Linked DNA regions of Mus musculus. The main gene of each other region encodes a partner of the protein of the gene in region 2 in a complex. Links are inferred from orthologs where the notes say so. Each region holds a gene or a part of one and is shown on either strand. Other genes may lie near its edges.

Evidence for each region.
Region 1: Thoc6 (region 2) and Chtop share a complex: the UniProt entries of both Homo sapiens proteins name them as parts of the transcription/export (TREX) complex. The link is inferred for Mus musculus from reciprocal best matches to the Homo sapiens genes THOC6 and CHTOP.
Region 3: the proteins of Thoc6 (region 2) and Thoc7 are in contact, whole or in part, in a cryo-EM structure (PDB 7APK), measured with the Homo sapiens proteins. The link is inferred for Mus musculus from reciprocal best matches to the Homo sapiens genes THOC6 and THOC7. Residues at the interface, in NP_001334633.1 of Homo sapiens: Asp229, Trp232, His245, Thr252, Gln268, Asp269, Gln284, Leu285, Ser286; in NP_079351.2 of Homo sapiens: Lys110, Arg113, Lys114, Gln117, Glu118, Ala121, Leu122, Val125.
Region 4: Thoc6 (region 2) and Sarnp share a complex: the UniProt entries of both Homo sapiens proteins name them as parts of the transcription/export (TREX) complex. The link is inferred for Mus musculus from reciprocal best matches to the Homo sapiens genes THOC6 and SARNP.

Annotation. Positions count from the first base shown.
Region 1 is NC_000069.6:90,502,999-90,507,089, reverse strand, and holds part of Chtop (chromatin target of PRMT1 protein), read left to right. Parts: exon of another isoform or gene 1-828; coding exon 829-982; intron 983-3,807; coding exon 3,808-3,994; intron 3,995-4,091. UniProt on the Homo sapiens protein: Plays an important role in the ligand-dependent activation of estrogen receptor target genes. May play a role in the silencing of fetal globin genes.
Region 2 is NC_000083.6:23,670,559-23,675,736, reverse strand, and holds the start of Thoc6 (THO complex subunit 6 homolog), read left to right. Parts: upstream 1-1,859; 5' UTR 1,860-2,184; coding exon 2,185-2,223; intron 2,224-4,829; coding exon 4,830-4,945; intron 4,946-5,031; coding exon 5,032-5,096; intron 5,097-5,178. Other genes in the region: Hcfc1r1 (host cell factor C1 regulator 1), read right to left, coding at 718-853, 1,062-1,202, 1,669-1,754. UniProt on the Homo sapiens protein: Component of the THO subcomplex of the TREX complex which is thought to couple mRNA transcription, processing and nuclear export, and which specifically associates with spliced mRNA and not with unspliced pre-mRNA.
Region 3 is NC_000080.6:13,951,314-13,955,404, forward strand, and holds part of Thoc7 (THO complex subunit 7 homolog), read right to left. Parts: intron 3,344-4,091; coding exon 3,226-3,343; intron 2,226-3,225; coding exon 2,098-2,225; intron 1,850-2,097; coding exon 1,763-1,849; intron 1-1,762. UniProt on the Homo sapiens protein: Component of the THO subcomplex of the TREX complex which is thought to couple mRNA transcription, processing and nuclear export, and which specifically associates with spliced mRNA and not with unspliced pre-mRNA.
Region 4 is NC_000076.6:128,845,173-128,849,263, reverse strand, and holds part of Sarnp (SAP domain-containing ribonucleoprotein), read right to left. Parts: intron 2,733-4,091; coding exon 2,681-2,732; intron 1,028-2,680; coding exon 954-1,027; intron 504-953; coding exon 475-503; intron 1-474. UniProt on the Homo sapiens protein: Binds both single-stranded and double-stranded DNA with higher affinity for the single-stranded form. Specifically binds to scaffold/matrix attachment region DNA. Also binds single-stranded RNA. Enhances RNA unwinding activity of DDX39A.

The DNA.
Region 1 (4,091 bases), on a different chromosome or scaffold from region 2:
CCATTTCACTTTCTTCCCATTCTGCTTTTTAGTTTGTTTTGTTTTGAAATCTTTCATCAGCTGTGTGTTTACTTCTATTAAACTTAATCATAACAGGAATGATAGAATAATGTCCTCTTAGGCTCTTAAGCGACTTAACTAATTTAACTTTCTCAGAAGTCCTGAGTCAGAAAGAGTGGTTATTTGTATTTAAAGGCAGTTTTTGTTTCTGAGAATTTCATTTATTTGGTGTCTTTCACCATTTTATTATGTTGTTGCTAGAACTCCCAAGGCATTTAATTTAGTGCCTGTGTTTGCTTCAGAAGCACATGTGCTTCTCTGTTCATCTTTTAAGATGTGATACATTAATTTCCTGTATTCATGTGTTACTAAGTAACATGTTAGAATGTAATAAACTCCCATAACTCATGAGTCTGTTATTTCAGTGGACTTTGAAGGTGCTCTGATCCTTCCTCCTGTTTGTCCTTTGAATGAACTTTCACTCTCCAAAAGTGTCGGCATTTCTGTTTGTCTTTGTAACTGCATCTCTGTTTCTTGTCATCATATTTGCTTACTGCGTGTATTTCATGCTTTCCACTTCTCTTAAGAGCTGTTACCTGAGCCCTTGTTATCGCTTCTAATTGTGCTGCCCTTGGCTGCATTTCTGAGTTTCTGGTTCTTGCAAGTTTGTGGAAACAGAGGAGTCTTTAACCCACATCAGCCTTGATCCAAATGTGCCACTTTAAAGTTCGTGGGATCTGGAGCTCCTGGTCTAGCAAGCCATGAGAATGCCAATAAGTGTTTTATAATAAAGCTTTATTTAAACACCCGTTTTGTTCGACCTTGAAGCTTTACTAATATGCTGAAGAACAAACAGCCGATGCCAGTGAATATTCGGGCTTCGATGCAGCAGCAGCAGCAGCTAGCCAGTGCCAGAAACAGAAGACTGGCCCAGCAGATGGAGAATAGACCCTCTGTCCAGGCAGCATTAAAACTTAAGCAGGTGAGAGAATGAGTCCTGCCATCTGCGTCAGCCCACCAAGGCTGTCAGGGTATAATGGATGAGTACAAGATGGCTCAGGGCAAAAGCTGAAACTGATGTTCAAAGAATTTCAGTTTGGACAGGTACCAACTAAATAAATAACTTAATAACTTTCTCTTTTAGGGAGTTTGACACCTCTGTAGCCTGCGTTATCAATGAAGATTAATTGATTAGTATTTTCTGGCTCTTGCTCTTAAGAATAATTTCATTTATTCATTCATTTATTTTCATCTTTTTATCTCTTTTGTTTGGTCTAACAGTGTTGTTCAATGGTAGAGCACTTGCCTAGCAAGCACAAGGTCCCAGGTTCACTTCTTAACACTTAACCAAAAAACAAGAAAGAAGTTCTGTTGTAGTTAGCTTTGCTGTGTGTACAAATGATTTACAAACTAGTTTAATCTTATTCTTCTGAATAAGATTCTAATTGGCCTTAGTCTGAGGTTTTCAGTACTATAAAAACAGCACCTAGGTTCATTAGCATAGCAGAACAAGCATATAGGATAATCAAGTGTCAGTTCTCTTTCACATTTCCAAAATAAGAAGTAATCCTGATCAGGCCTGAAATAAAACCTGCTCTTTATCATTTGTAGACTTTATATGCAAGTCCGGAAAGTGGCTGTGGAAGGATATGTCCAAGCTGTGGCTGGGCGTCCAGAGGGCGGTGCCATGCAACTGTAAGGATTTTAACTGGTAGCACTGCATGGCTGTGCATAGAGTCAGCACTTATAACACCCACCCCCTACTCCGAACTGTTGGGCTCACTGACCGAAAATAAGCAAGGCTTTCTGCTTTTTTCCCTTTCAGCCTTGAAGTAGTTAAGGGTTTGGTTTGGTTTGGTTTTTTTCCTGACTCAGGAGAACAACAAGCCGTAGGCCCACATTTTCCAAGAATAAATAAGAGTCATAAAGTCTCCAATTACACTGTGACAGAGGCCCTTTCAATAGGCTAACTTGTAAACCAGTGATATCCACCAGCTTCTGTTTTGGTGGGATGCTCTCAATTTTTTTCAGTAGTCATTTGTCCTGTCAGAAGGACATCCAAGTGTGGCTAGTGCAGTTGAGGATCTAAATTTTGTTTTGAATTTTGTTTTTTTTTGTTAGGTTTTCCCTTATGTTAAAGCCAAACAAAGGACATACAGTTGTAATCTCAGCAAATAGGGGCATTATGAGCTCAAGACCAACACAAATTTTGTTTAGTTTTTTGTTATTATTGTTTAGTGGTTTTGAGACTTATGTAACTACAATTGGCCTAGAACTCTAAATGCAGACCACAGTGTCTTCAAACTCAGAAATAGACCTGCTTTTGTCTCCAGGGTACTGGGAGAAAAGGTCAGAGCTACTCTACCAGAACCAAAAACTTTTTTTTAAGTAGCCATATATAATTAGTGGTTACATTGTTATACAACACAGCTCTAGAGTAAAAACTGAGTCATACTGTCAGTATGTATAAGTGTCAGTATGTATAAGTGTCAGGATGAAGATGAACTCTACAGTACTATACAGTTCTTCCCTAAAGCAAAGGACTCAGGAAAATGAGTATAGTCAGTAATTGAGCATGAGAATGCAGTTTGACTTCATAATTGTGTGCTGGGGTCTGGAGGCACGGTTCAGTGGTAAAGTATTTATCTACCATGGGCATGAGTTCATGCCCAGCACCACAAAAAAATAATTATTGTGCTAATTGGGAGTAATAAAACAGGCCTTTAGGCTTGGTTGTATCTACCTGTATTAGATGTCTAATGTTAAGATCCTTTCTCCTCAAATTGGAAGCAGTTTAAAAGTTTTGTGCTGGAAAATTGATAATGCCACAACATCCTTTTCAGAGCTCTTAATTGAAGGAAATATATATGCAGAGATGTATGTGCCATTAGAATGTGCTGGAAGTTGATTGTGTGCAAGAGCAGAATTACTGGGGCCTTGATTGTATTTGAGGCTGTATTGTCTCCTCTTCTGAAGAAATCGAATTCTCTGAAATGTCATCTTCAGAATCTTTTGGAGAAACTATTGAAAATTGTTATCTTTAGTGTGTCTTTGTTCTTTGTGTGGTGGCCCTTTGTGGCTAACAGTTTGCTTTCATTTTAACATGAATTTGGCTGGCTTTCTATGAAGATAAAATTGAATTGTATGTTTAAGAAGACCATTGTACTGGCTTAAGGAAACTGTTGGCAAGGGGAGATGTGGAATTTACAGAATTTTTAAAAAGTGTAAGGAAAGGAATGTTGACATTTTTGTGTTTATTTGCATCTTAAGGTTTTAAAAAAGGACCGTCTGGAGATAGATACTCAAAGGAAAACCTCAACACACTGGCCTCTTTAACTGAGAAGTCAATCTTGTCCTTTGAGTCTCAAGAATTCAAGTGAACTTGTAATTTAAGTTTACCCAGAATGTGACGCACTTCCTATGGTGTGTGAGTAAGCCTTTGCAAACAGTGTAGTCCATAGGCAGATATGGGTAAAGTCACATCATTGTTAACCTATGGCTCAGAAGCAGCGAGTTTGCAGCTACTGCTGTATTATTTGAATAGCCAAATTAGTAAGGTTATCTGTGCTGGCTCTGCTGTTGTAGACGATATTAAAGCTTCTTAGAGCCTTTATTCTGGCTCAGGATTCTGCTTTTATCCATGTTCTGAGGAAAAGTCTTTGATTTGGGATCCTTACGTTACCCACAACAGGTTTATACCTTCCACCCCGAGTGTCTGACTTGCCTCTTTTTGTCCTGTACTTTAAATTGCCAAATCCCATGGAATTGCTTTGTTGATCTCAATCCTCTTAACACCTTTTCTTTCAGAAGAGCTTAAAGCAGCGCCTGGGTAAGAGTAATATCCAGGCACGGTTAGGCCGACCCATAGGTGCCCTGGCCAGGGGAGCAATTGGAGGAAGAGGCCTACCCATAATCCAGAGAGGCTTGCCCCGAGGAGGACTACGTGGGGGACGTGCTACCAGAACCCTGCTTAGGGGTGGGATGTCGCTCCGAGGTCAGTGTGTCTGTGTAGCTAATAATGGTTGGGCTCTATCCTCCTCCCCTTTTTCTTGGACTGCTTACCGACACATTTGTTTAGCATTTTTAATCCT
Region 2 (5,178 bases):
CACAAGGGAATCTCTTGTTCCCCACAAGTCCTGGCAGTCTGGCTGACTTGAGGGGCAGACACAACACTGGGTCCCACCCACTCGGAGGGGCTATAATGCCACTCCCTGAGTTTTAGCCCTAGGAGTGGGTCAGATTGACAGACCTGTTCTTAACACTAAGGGGGCTGGCCCTCTGGGAGGGCTGGCCCCAGTACACACGGAAACAACCATCTCCCAAGGGGGGTGATATTTATTGTGGGGATAATGTTTGGAGGGGAGGGAGACTTATTAATAAAAGAATCTTTAACTTTAAGATATGGCCTGATCCCTAACTTGACTCCCCAGAACTGGAGGGAGGGAGCCAGTCGGCCACTGCGGGGGCGGGGGTGAGGCTGTGACTCACACATTCTCAATGCCTGGAGCTCAGCCTGCCAGGACCTGGCTTGCCCTCACCGATTTTCCAGGGAAGATTTTGAGGAGGAAACCCCAGCATCCAGTACCCCACCCTCCCCAAAGGCTGCTGAGAAATCTTCAACTGCTCACAGGTCTTTATTCACTAATGGGGTAACATTTTCCCTTTCCCAGGCTGCCTTTCACTGAGGGTTCCACCGAGCTAGTGTCCTCTTGTCAGAGGGAAGGTCCTGGTGGCCAGGTTTGCAGAAGGACTTCATCCCTTTCTGGGAGTTGCTGGTCTTTGTTGTCAGAAAGAAGATAGGGAGGGACACAGGCCATCAATACTCAGAGCTCCACGATATCCCCAGCTGGGGACGCAGGGTAGTAGGGACTGGGGGTATCCCCCAGCCTCAGCAGCCTGAGGGCTTCAGGAATCAGGCTCCCGGGATAGCGCCAGAGAAGCAGCTCTGGGCAAGGGCTCCTAAAAGAAGAAAAAAAGATTGAAAGAACAGGGCAGAAGGCTGGCTTGGCAGTGCCACCTCCTACCAGGTCCAGGTCGCCTGGAGCCAAAGATGGAAAACAGCACAAGTTGGCTAGAAGCTAAAAATAGCACGATGAGGCAGAGAGTGAGGAGGGGCTCTGAGGACCGAATGTGATCCTCTAGAAGGCCCTCAAGGGGAGGTGCCTACCTGAGTGGTGGCAGGGCTTCGGGAAAAGTCACAGGGGGGCTGCAGTAGGGGTGGTCATTATGTAGGCTGAGTCGGGAGAAATGGGTGGCCATGTTCTCCTCAGACAGGAACTGCTTGTGCAAAGGTTCCCTGGGGGAAAGACTGGAGAAGAATAGAGGCAGGGATGTTGAGAGTGGAGGCAAACTGATGAGGACCAAAGGTGAATCTTGGAAGCCCCATCCGCCCCTACACTTAGAAGTTCCTTCTCCAGGGCTCTCCATGGTCACTGGCACAGCTCCTCTGAGAAGGGAGCTGGGAAGTAGCGCCAGGTGTAGTCCACTCTCTTTGCCCCTTCCCAAAGATCTGTCCACCTGAGTCTACAGGGTAAACCAGGTTCCCAGAATCAGCCTTGTCTTGTGTGGCCTAAGCCACCTTCCTCTCCCAGGCTATACACAGGTTACCTTGGAAATCTTGACCTTGGCTTCCCTGCTTCAACACAAGCTCAAGCACCACGGTTTCCTGAATCGCCTCCCCACTTTCCAGGATCCCCCTACTGACCAGCCCTGGATCCCCCAGCCAAAACTCCTGCCCTCCGCTCGTCCAGCCCACTCAGGGACCAATTACACACCTGGCGTTTAGGCCGCGAGTTACCCCAGTGGTGGCCCGTGGGTCCCGACTTGGGGGACCTCGCTCCAGGGGCTGTTGCAGGATCATTACGGCTCAGGGTCCTGCAGATAGAGGGGTGGGATTCAAGCAGCAGAGGCGGAGCCTTTGAGGGCGTGGTACAGCGCGAGGGGCGGGCCTACCGGCGTGCGCACTGGAGACGTTTTACGCAGGCGCGGAAGACAGGAATCAGGTTAGAGGTTAGAAGGCGGGACAGGTCGGCGCGGTGGGGGAGGGGATCCGGCGTGGCTGGATAGTTCTGGGCGCTTTTTAGCATAAGGGTGCTTCGTGTAGTTCTCCTAGGTTTCTGTGGTTCGAGACAGCACGGACCTGCCGCCTTAGTTGCTGGGCGACAGGCAGTGCTAGGTCTTGGGGCGTAACGAGAAGAGCCACCATCAGGCACGTCCGGAATCGAGAGGTTGTGTCGTGCGTCGAGAGATTGTGTCACACGTAGAGCCCTCTGGGACTTGTAGTTCTCAAGATGGAGCATGCCGCACCGCTCGCGGTGCCTCTGGGTCAGGTGAGTCGAGTGTATGCACAGTGCCTTCTGGGGTTTGTAGTCTTGCTCTGACATCTACCCCTGGAGTGTTCCAGGATACCCAGTGTTCATAGGTGATTTGTGGGACTTGTACCCTGAGCCCACGAAAAGTGATCCGGAACCTTGAGATCTAATAGTGACTGAAGGATTAGATGTTGGTACATTTTCCTGTGCGGGATAATAGAGCCACTTAAAAAAATTTGCGCCGTTGGAGGTGGTGGCACATTTACGATCCTAGCACTGGGAAGGCAGAGGGAGACATATCTCTTGTGAGTTAGAAACCAGCCTGCTACTTAGTGAATTCCATGTCATCCAATGCTATATAGTTAGACCCTGACTCAAAAAAAAAAAAAAAAAGTTCATCGTAATTGTAAATGAGGTGCCCCTCCCCCTTTAAACCCAGGGTCTTGGTCTTCATAAGAATGTGCTCTATTATTTAGTTACAGCTCAGCCCACTGCTTACTGGTGTGAGACAGTCTCGTAAGTCTTGAACTTTGTTATATACTGGAGAATGTCCTTGAACTTCTGTTCTTCCTGCCTTCACCTCCACTGAGTGCTCCAGGCTATTGGGTGTGCTGCAAAGCCCAATATCTACAATGCTGGTGCTCAAACGCTGAGCTTTGAGTAAGAATAGGTTTTTGGGTATGGAGAGAGAGTGGAGGATCTGAGCTGGGTGCCAGCACTCAAGTTCCAAAGCTTGTAATTGCCTGTTAATTCCAGCTACAGGGGAGCCAATCCTCTGGCCCCTGTGGACGTACTTGTATATACTTCCCTCACACACTTATACAAAATACAAATAATTAAAATCAGTAAAGTAAATCTTAAAAAGGAAGAAAAGAGCATGGTCTACCATGAGCAGTTACCCTCAGCCCCAAGAACCACTGTGCTTGCTCGTACACACACACACACACACACACACACACACACACACACACATTTTGAGACAGGGTTTCTCTGTGTGGCCTTGGCTGTCCTGGAACTTGCTCTGTAGACCAGTTTGGCCTCAAATTTACAGAGATCTGCCTGCTTCTGCCTCCCAAGTGCTGGGATTAAAGGCATGTGTCACCATTGCCCATATATGTACATCAAACTGGCCAGGAACTCAGAGATTTACCTAACTGCCTCCTCTCAATTGTCGGAACAGATTAAAGGCATGCCACCACACTTGGCTTACTTATTTCCTTGTAAAGTTTTCTCATTGTTTTATGTATGTAAGTGTTTTGCTTACATGTTGTATGTGTGCTATGGTACCCTTAGAGGCCAGAAAGGGTATCACAGGGGAGTGGAGAAATGGCCCAGCACTTGCTACTCTTCCAAAGAAACCAAGTTCAGCTCCTAGTACCCATATAGGAGTGGGCTTACAGCTGCTTGTAATCCAGTTCCAGGAGGTCCAACACTCGACACTGCACATACACTCGCACACACGCACGCATGTACATGCACACACACACACATGCATGTACACTCATGCACAAGACAGAAGCAAGAAGATCTCTCTGGGACCAGCCTAATCTACATAGTGAGTTCTGGGCCAGAGAGGGTTCCTGGTGAGAACCTTTTTCTGAGGGGTGGGGGTAGAAAGAGAGAGACAGAGAGAAAAGGGGAGGGGAGAGGGGGAGAAAGGAGAGAGAGGTGCAGTAGAGGGAGGGGGCTGGGCCCTCCTGGAACTGAGGTGCAGGTGGTTGTGATCTGCCATGTGGGTGCTTTGGGGATCCTCTGCAAGAGTGGCGCACACTTCCCTGCTGAGCCATCTTCCAGACCTCCTCCCCCGCACCCCCATTTTTTAAAGATTATTTTGAGTCACTTAGATTTTTGAGATAGGGTCTGAGATATTTCAGGCTGGCCTGAGGTTTGTCACGTAGTGGAATGTGTCCTTCTGCTTGTACCTTCAGAGTGCTGGGATCACAGGCTACATGTGTGTGCTTGCTTTATGCAGTGTGCTGTGCTAAGCAAGCACTCTACCAATTCAATTCCATCCTTAGTGTGTACTTGAGACTGTCTCATGTAGCCCAGGCTGCCTTTGAATTCACTGTCTAGCTGGGCATAACCTTGAGTTACCAGTGAGTTTCCCTGCCTCCAACTCTCATGTGCTGGGGTTACATTCTATACAACTCCCTCTGGCTTCAGTGCTCTCAAGATTTGTTAGTTTACCTAATCATGACAGAATTTCTTGTGAGTGCCATCTGTCTGTTCAGCCAATGGGAGGAGGCTTGGTCTTGCTCAAAGTCTTAGGTTTTGTTTTTGGTTTTTTTTTTTTTTTTTGAGACAGGGTTTCTCTGTATAGCCCTGGCTGTCCTGGAACTCACTTTGTAGACCAGGCTGGCCTCGAACTCAGAAATCCTCCTGCCTCTGCCTCCCAAGTGCTGGGATTAAAGGCTTGCGCCACCACCGCCGGCAAGCTGTGGCTCCTCGGTTCTTTTTTCCACTCTCTTCCTGGAGTCACTTTGTATGGGCTGATGCCTCTCATCCTGGCTGAGATGGGCTGAGAAGCCTGGGCGGGGGTGGGGGTGGGGGTGGGGTGGGTAAGCAGAAGTCTGTAGGAGGTGGCCCCAGACTTCTTAGACTCTCTTGATCACCCTTTTCCACAGGCTGAGGTATTTCAGGCCCTGCAGCGACTGCACATGACCATCTTTTCCCAGAGTGTCTCCCCCTGCGGGAAGTTTCTGGCAGCTGGCAACAATTACGGGCAGATTGCCATCTTCAGGTACCCTCAACCCTGATTCCTACCACACAGGAGCCCTGGCACTTGAGCCTCCTTGGCTTTGACTTGGCTCCCTACCTCTCTTTCAGTTTGTCTGCTGCCTTAAGTTCAGAGGCCAAAGAAGAAAGCAAAAAACCGGTGGTGGTCTTCCACGGTGGGTATAGCTGTTGAGAGTGGTTCAGGTGACCTCAGGAGAGAGAAGGGCTCACAGGGGCTAATGAGAGTTTTCTGTGTCT
Region 3 (4,091 bases), on a different chromosome or scaffold from region 2:
TTATCAAAAAGAAATGTGTAAATGAAAATAACTCTTATTCACTTTCTTAAGGAAATGAGAATAATGTGGTCTTTGCACATGCCTTTGATCCCAGCACTTGTGAGGCAGAGGCCACTGGATCTGTTCGCTCCAGGCTAGCCTGATCTAAATAAATAGCAAGTTTTAGGACAGCCAGGAAAAATTACACAGAAACATCCTGTCTTGAAAAAGACCAAAAAACAAAGCAAAAGCAAGAAAACAAACCAAAGCAAAGCAAATCCCTCAATTCAGTCATAAGTATGTCATAATGACCTCATGTCCCAAGCAGGGGTCCTCACTCTCACTTCCGGTGTTCCAGTCATGTGACAGAATGAGAAGTGGGCAGCAGTGCACACAAGACTTAGGATCACCATCAAATGACTGATTCAAAAGTTCTTAACTTCCTCACACCCTCGTCAAAACAAACGAAGAAAATACATCTTTCTGGACCAGTTTCATAAATCTTAGATTCTATGAATCTAAGCTATAAAACCTCACATTTATCAAATAACAGCATTTTCTATTTCTGTTTAGTTTTTCACAATACTGTCATGGTTATTCTGTCTGTTTGTCTGTCTTCCTTTCTCTTTCATCTGTCTACCTATTTAATTTAGAGCTAAGTTTCTACTAGACCCAATTATGATACTCACTGATTGATTGATTGATGAGAGGTAGGTTTCCACCGAACCCAGGCTGACCTAGAATCTGTAACCTGCATGCCTTAGCCAAGTGATGGCAGTTCAAGGATGTGCCATAACAAACACTTCAAACACTGCTCTTTATCTTTGCCCAATTCATGTAATAGGCGCAATATTCCTACTATTAATTTCCACTTGGCAGTGGTGGCGCATGCCTTTAATCCCAGCACTTGGGAGGCAGAGGCAGGTGGATTTTTGAGTTCGAGGCCAGCCTGGTCTACAGAGTGATTCCAGGACAGCCAGGGCTACAGAGAAACCCTGTCTCAGAAAACCAAAAAAAAAAAAAAAAATCCAGGGCTAGAGAGATGGCTCAGTAGTTAAGAGGATATACTAATGTGTTACAGAACCCAATTTAGTTTTCAGCACTCATGTGTAGTTCACAACTGCCTCAAATCCAGGGATGAGATGGCCTCCATGGGCACCTGCTCTCCGCTGTACAGAGACACATGTATGACATTAAAATTACATATGTTTATTTTATTTTATATATCTGTGTGTTGGAGGGCTATGGCACAGTGAGGGACTCACTTCTCTTCTTCTACCACGTGGGTCTTAGGGCTTAAGCTCAGGGCGTCACGCTTGGTGGCAAGTGTTCTTGCCCACTGGGCCAACTTGCTGTCTCTTCACTTTAACTTTTATTAGGTAATTCTGTAGATAACATTTGTTTGCTTTGTGAATAATAAAAAGTTAAATTTCTTTTCCATTTTCTTTTTCTGAAAGTAGTTTCATTAAACTAGCAAATAAACACCTCAGTCTGTCATATTGTTCACATTTGGAGATTAACTGTAACACTGCTTAGGAAAAAAATCTATAGATAGTAAAAAATACTGAAATATTCTTGGATAAACAATAAAACTCATCAGAATAAAATCTTTTTCATCACACCTTGCCTTCTCTATGTTAAGTAACAGAGATCTAAGTATAAGTGTAATTGTATTTTCTGTAAACTGATTCATGTTGCAGAATTTACTTTTCAATATTAAAAACTTTATGTAACTTGAAATCAGGAATAAAATATCTGCAACCTAAATCCTTCAAATTCTTACCTTGTCGATTTTTTCGTATTCGTTTTGCTTGAAGAATCTGCTTTTTACACTCAGCAATTTTTTCATGTGCTCCAGCAATACTACATTCTATTTTTAAAAAAGATAGTTATAATAACATATATAATCTGTGCTTTTAAATAGACATTCCACTGATAACACAATAGACAATGGCATTCTAAAAATATCTACAACACGAAGTGCTGCATGTTATTATTCAACACTGTGGCTGCTGACAGCTGACTCTTAATTACTGATATTTTACTTTAATCCACATATTGTTATCAGATAGCTTTAAACCACAAAAATACAATTCCAGAAAGAATTACTATGTTTACCTATTTCTTTGTATATTTTTTCATAATTTTCCATTTCTCTGAGATTCATATCATATACCAGCAATGTTTTGCCCATTGAAAATTCACACTGGGACAGAGTGCTCAGCATGCGTTGGTACTGGCTATACCTATGAAAAAGAAAAAGGGAATCAAAAGGAATTGTACACTAAACCAAGTTCTGACAAAATTGCTTAACTTAGAACAGCTTAGAACATCTACTCTTACTATTTTCTTTGCTAGAATGCTGTAAGTGAATTTATAAGTTGTTCTGGTTACAAAGGCAAAATGAGACTACTGTGCTCATCTCATCTAAGCATTCGTCTGCATCTTAAATCCAACTATATTAAACCCCAACTATATTTTGACTAAGAGTTTCTTCAGAATTCTGTTCTCATCATTTTCATACTTAAGCAGAAAGTAAATCCAGCAAAATTAGTATAAAATTAGTATGTAATTATTAGAATGTGTGATGGTTTGTATATTCTCTGACCAGGGAGTGGCACCATCTGGAGGTGTGGCCTGGTTGGAATAGGTGTGTCACTGTGGGTGTGGGCTTAATATTCTCATGCTAGTTGCCTGGAAGTCAGTCTTCCACTAGCAGCCTTTGGATGAAGACATAGAACTCTCAGCTCCTCCTGCACCATGCCTGCCTGGATGCTGCCATGCTCCCACCTTGATGATAATGATCTGAACCTCTGAACCTGTAAGCCAGCCCCAATTAAATGTTGTTTTTATAAGACTTGCCTTGGTCATGGTGTCTGTGCACAGCAGTAAAACCCTAACTAATACAGTATGTAATTATTAGTATATAATTATTTTGCAGCAACTTAAATTTAACTTAACAAAGAAAAAACCTTCCTTTGCTAAAAGTAATCAAATTATTAAGCCTTCATTTCTTCTTTTACTAATGTCCTATCTGCATATTATACAAACATAAAGGAGACCTCCAAATAGAAGAACAGAAAAAACAAAAAAAAAAAAAACAAAAACAAACAAATAAATAAACCAAACTTCTGATCAGTCTAGAGGTGGCCGCACTGGACAGATAAGGTAAATTGAACTATTTAACATGGCCTTAATAAAGTTCCACCAGGATACTGATACAGAAGCGTCAGTGGAATAAAGTACCCTTCCTCTTGGGATCCAGAGTTGCACCATTTAATGAAGCTTTTCACGAGGAGATTAATTCTCCGATCATCCCCAGCACCATCTCCATCAATCAGAAGACGTTTCCGTATAACTTCGTCTGGAGGAAAAAAGATGAATGAGAATTAAAACGAATATTTGGTTCTGAGCAACTCTCAAGACAACAGTATATAACTACTCATTTGCTCAATGAAAAGAAAATTACTGAAAAATAAATACATTTAATGCCATCAGTTGAGGTGAACACAAAAATGATAAATTTTACGTGCATCTTGACACAATTAAAAATCTTTCTTCTATTTTTCTCTTCAAAGAAAAGTGATTGTCCAAGGTATATCTGCCTGTCCTAGGGGCTGAGGTCTTAGGTAAAACTCTACCCTCACAATTGGCATTCTATGGGTTGTTGAGAGGAAATTTTCAGGTATATCAGAAAGGCTAAGTCAATAATTGTTAAGAGAACTACTTTTGAAGCAAAAAAAGAAAAAAAAATGAAAAGAAGAAAAAAAAGCTGTCTAAAGTAAAGGAAGCCAGAACTGTGCAGATCTTCAGCTAAGTAAGGCACTGACAGAAAGAACTGAGAAAGTTTCCTTCCATGTAGTATCAAGTTACAAAAAAGAGTAACAGGGCAGAGAAAAAGGAAAAGATTCATGAAGTAACACAATTTCCTTGTTAAACACTCCAAAACAACACTGTCTCATCCTTTCTGAGAGCCAGTGCAGGCTGACCTGCAGTTCACTGTGCAGCCTCTGCTGCCACAAGATGGGATAACAGGTATGAGCCTGACTTCCGGGTCTCATTTTTTACACCAATGCAAAGAGAAAATAGAACATAAAAGTAGTGCAAAATGA
Region 4 (4,091 bases), on a different chromosome or scaffold from region 2:
ACACTTAACCAGTTAATACTGTATTGGATACATGTTTTTTTTTCCAATTTACTGATCAATATATATGGTGGTAACACAAGCCTCATGGCTAAGTCTTTAAGTATATCAGAGGTTACTTCTTGATAAATTCTTAAAAACAAAATTGTGAAGTTAAATACAGTCTCCTTCACTTTAATACTATGTTAGCTCAGAGCACTAAAAAAGTACACATAGTTTTATGCTAGTAAGACACAAAAATAAATGAACAAGGTACTAAAGATTTCTCAGAAGTCCTAAAAAAGAAACCCAATGGTGCGATCTCCTCCCCATAACTTCAGGACGTTCTCTCGATTATTCATGAGGTCTGAAGGGTACAAATGCAGAGCCTCTTAAGGGCTTCTAGAGCCAACAAAGTTATCTAATTTGGAGGAATGAAATCTATAGTCAGAAAAAAACCCAAAGTAAACTTTCTCAGAAGAACCTCTGTATTCTCACCTTTTGTTGGAACTGAAGAAATTCCAAACCTGTAAGAAGAAAAAACAAGCTAAATTTTAGGAAGCTGTTCACACCCTTAGTTGTCTGTGTCCGTGTCAAGGGTGCATGACACTTCTTTCTTGTGATCTCAAACTTTGCAATCATTAGCTAATTCTAACAACCCCATGAAAGAGGTTCAGTTTACTCTCCTTCTCACCAACAGTCCAGGAGTCCACTAAACGAACTCTTCAGACTCAGGAGCAGCTGCCAGTTCCTGACTTTTACCTATCATAAAAACCCTGACCAAAGATGGCAAAACTCAGTGAAAGCTATAACATCCAAATCAGCAGAAATGTCCTGAGTATGACCCAAACTGTATTCATTAAGTTCAATGAAAACACTTCTACTGAAAACCAACAACTATAACAAGAAACAAAGATCTGACCCCCTACACCACCATAACATTTCTATCTTGTATCCAAACAGGTAGAAGCACTCACCTAGCCGCCCGGGCAGCCTTCTTACTCTCCAGGCTTACAGGTACATTGAATCGTTCAGCCCTCTTCTGCATTCTCTAAGTGATATTAAATGAAAAAATTAAAACTGTAATTTCTTGTTTAAAAAAAAAATTGGTTATGGTCATTTCTTAAGATCTAACGGAAATACTGACAACTTTAGACCATATCAGGTAGCAGCCATTCTAAGGCTTAACACAACAATTGTTTCTAGAAAGCAATCAATCAATTAATCTCTCTCTCTCCCCGTATTCACATTCTCAAAAACAAAAAGAATAAAATCCATATTCTACACAAACCCCAAAAGTTCTATCTTGTTTGAAAAAGTGTATCTTGGGGGGGGATAGTATATCAAAGGAGCATATTGGTTCCAGTACAGGTAATCTAAAAACACCACCACCACCACCACCACCACCATCACTTCCTGCCTGAATTCTAAAAGAAGTGAATAAATCTCAACTATAAGCCAGGCATAGAGGTACACTCCCAGCATTCAAAAAGCAGAAGCTGGTGGATCTCTGAGTTCGAGGCCAGCCTGGTCTACACAGTGAGTTCCAGAACAGCCAGAGCTACACAGAGAAACCCTGTATAAAAACAACAACAACCCCTCTACCTTGAAAGTACAAAACTGAACACAAGATCTCAAATGAAACCTGATTTCAAACATCTTGAGATAGAATCCAAAGAAATTTCACTCTCACCAGCTAACAACTAACAACTTAAAGGAGTATCTGCCATTGCTATTTTTCCAAAGTACACACAATCCTCTCAAACTCTAATCCTATACCTATAGACTTATTAAGTTACTATTAAGGCTACAGTGGTATATGTAATCTATGACAGCTTAAAGATAACAACTCACTATGCCAGTCCAAATATTTTCCTGAGTTGGTGGAGAAAGAAACATCAATTGTCAATATTCCCCTAATTCCCTTAAATAATTTGTCTATGAATAAATTATTTACATGGATCAAACTCAGGCTTTAGCCACAGAGATCTTTACCCAGAGTGCCAACTTAACAGCCCTAAATGAAAATTTTACATAATGATGATGACAGAGAAAAGGTTAAAAACAGGAACAGCCAGGCATGGTGGCACATACCTAGAATCCTAACACCCGAGATGCTGAAGTACAAAGATTTTGTTTGGGGCCAACCTGAGCTACAAAGTAAATTGCTATTCTAAGGAACAAAAAATAAATATAAAAATGAGAACTCAGTAGTTGAAAGTGCAGGCTGTGCAAGTCTGATAACAGGAGCCCATGTAAAGGCAGAATGTGCTAGTATACAGCTATAAACCAAGTTTTCCTGTGGCAAGATGGGAGGTTGTCATCTTCTGGAAGCTCATGGGCCAGCTAGCCTGGTGTACACATCACAGCACTGGAAACAAGAGTCCTGACTAAGTTCAGCAAGATAGTTCAGTGAGTAATGTTCTTTAATGCCAAGCCAGACAACCTAAGTTTTATCTCTGCAACGCACATGCTAGAAGAAAAACCAATTCCCCCAAGTTGTCCTCTGACCTACACAAGCGCACTCGCACACAAACACGGCTCCCCCATATATAAATAAAATGTAATTTTAAAAAATGTTTTTAAAGGAGAGACCTCTACCTCAACAAAGTGAAGGCAGTCCTCTATCCACACATATACCATGGCATTTATGCATTCACAGCCCCACCCACACCTCAATTAAAATTTAAAAAAGAATACTTACTTCAGTCTGAGGTATCCCAGATGTAATCTTTACCACCTTCTTTTCCGATGCCCTAAGAAGACAGATTTTTAAAAGTCAGAAAACTGCTATCTTAACCCAAAGCATTAGAAATGTGCAAGAATCACCTGAGTTATATCCTCTGCCCCACATGTGTCTACCACCCCTTAATCCAAAGAAACATGAAGTCCATAACAAGTCTGACTCCTTGAACTGTCATCAACTGAGAAGAAAAATTAAAATAAAACTAAGTTATTTTAACTGAAGTTCGAGACCATAATCAGCAAAGAAGTCAGGCTAAAAATACAGGGATGAAGGGACACACACATAAGTCATTTCATTTGCTTTTAGACACTTTATAGTTACTTTTGAACTAAGAACTGTATCTCCAACCTCCAATTATATACAAACTCAATTTTTATCACAATATTTAACTAGCGCTGAACCAGCCCTGATTTCCTTCTTTTATAAGTCCCTATTGCTCCCGTGGGATTGTAGCTCTAGCTGAAACCGTCAAAGCAGAACAAATAAAAATGCCACAGGAAGTGGGTGGGAGAAGAAAGGCTGAATTAGGAAAACATGGCGAGTTACTGGTCAAAAGGCTTAAGAGAAAACAAAAGAGGGGGACCGCAGGGGCAGGAGACAAAGTTCGGAAGTCCCCAGGATAAATGGAAGGGCATTAACTCTCCAACAAACAACTCCCATAAAACTGCGGGTCATAACCAGTCTCATTAAGGTCCCTTATTTAGAGACATGGGCAGCTTTTGTTCCAATATCCCAAACACTTTTCCCATTTGATGCCCTGAAAGGTAGTAATGGTTTAATGACATTTTCAGAGGAAGCAATTCTGGAACCTGATTCTCCTCCATCTTTTTGTTGGAAGTCCTTAGACTAACAGGCAAGCAAAGAATGCCCCCTGCTGACCATAAGGAAGTCCTACAATATTTGTTTTGGCTCAGGAGAAAAAAAAACTTAAAACAAGATAGAGAAGTATATTTACACATAACTTCAGGCGTAAGATGATGTAAAGAGATTTCCTTTTGGATATACAAGGGATTCTAATCAGCCTTGGAATATTCAGACTGTTTGCTAACTCTCCATTTTTTTTTATTGCTGTTGTCTGAAACATGGCCCCTTTCATTCAGCCAAAGCTATCTTCAAACTCCTAACTCTCCTTCCTCCACTTCTCTAATGCTGAGATTACAGGTGTGCACTACTATACAATCCCCTACCTTTTTTATCTTTTTAATGCTGGGTGTCACCTTATAACCCTGGCAGGCCTGTAAATTCCTATATAGAACAGATGGCCTTGAACTCTACTTGCCTCTGCTTCCTAAGTGTTGGGATTAAAAGAATGGGCACTGCCAGACATGGTAGCACTCACATTTAAGTCCTATATTTGAGAGGCAGAGAC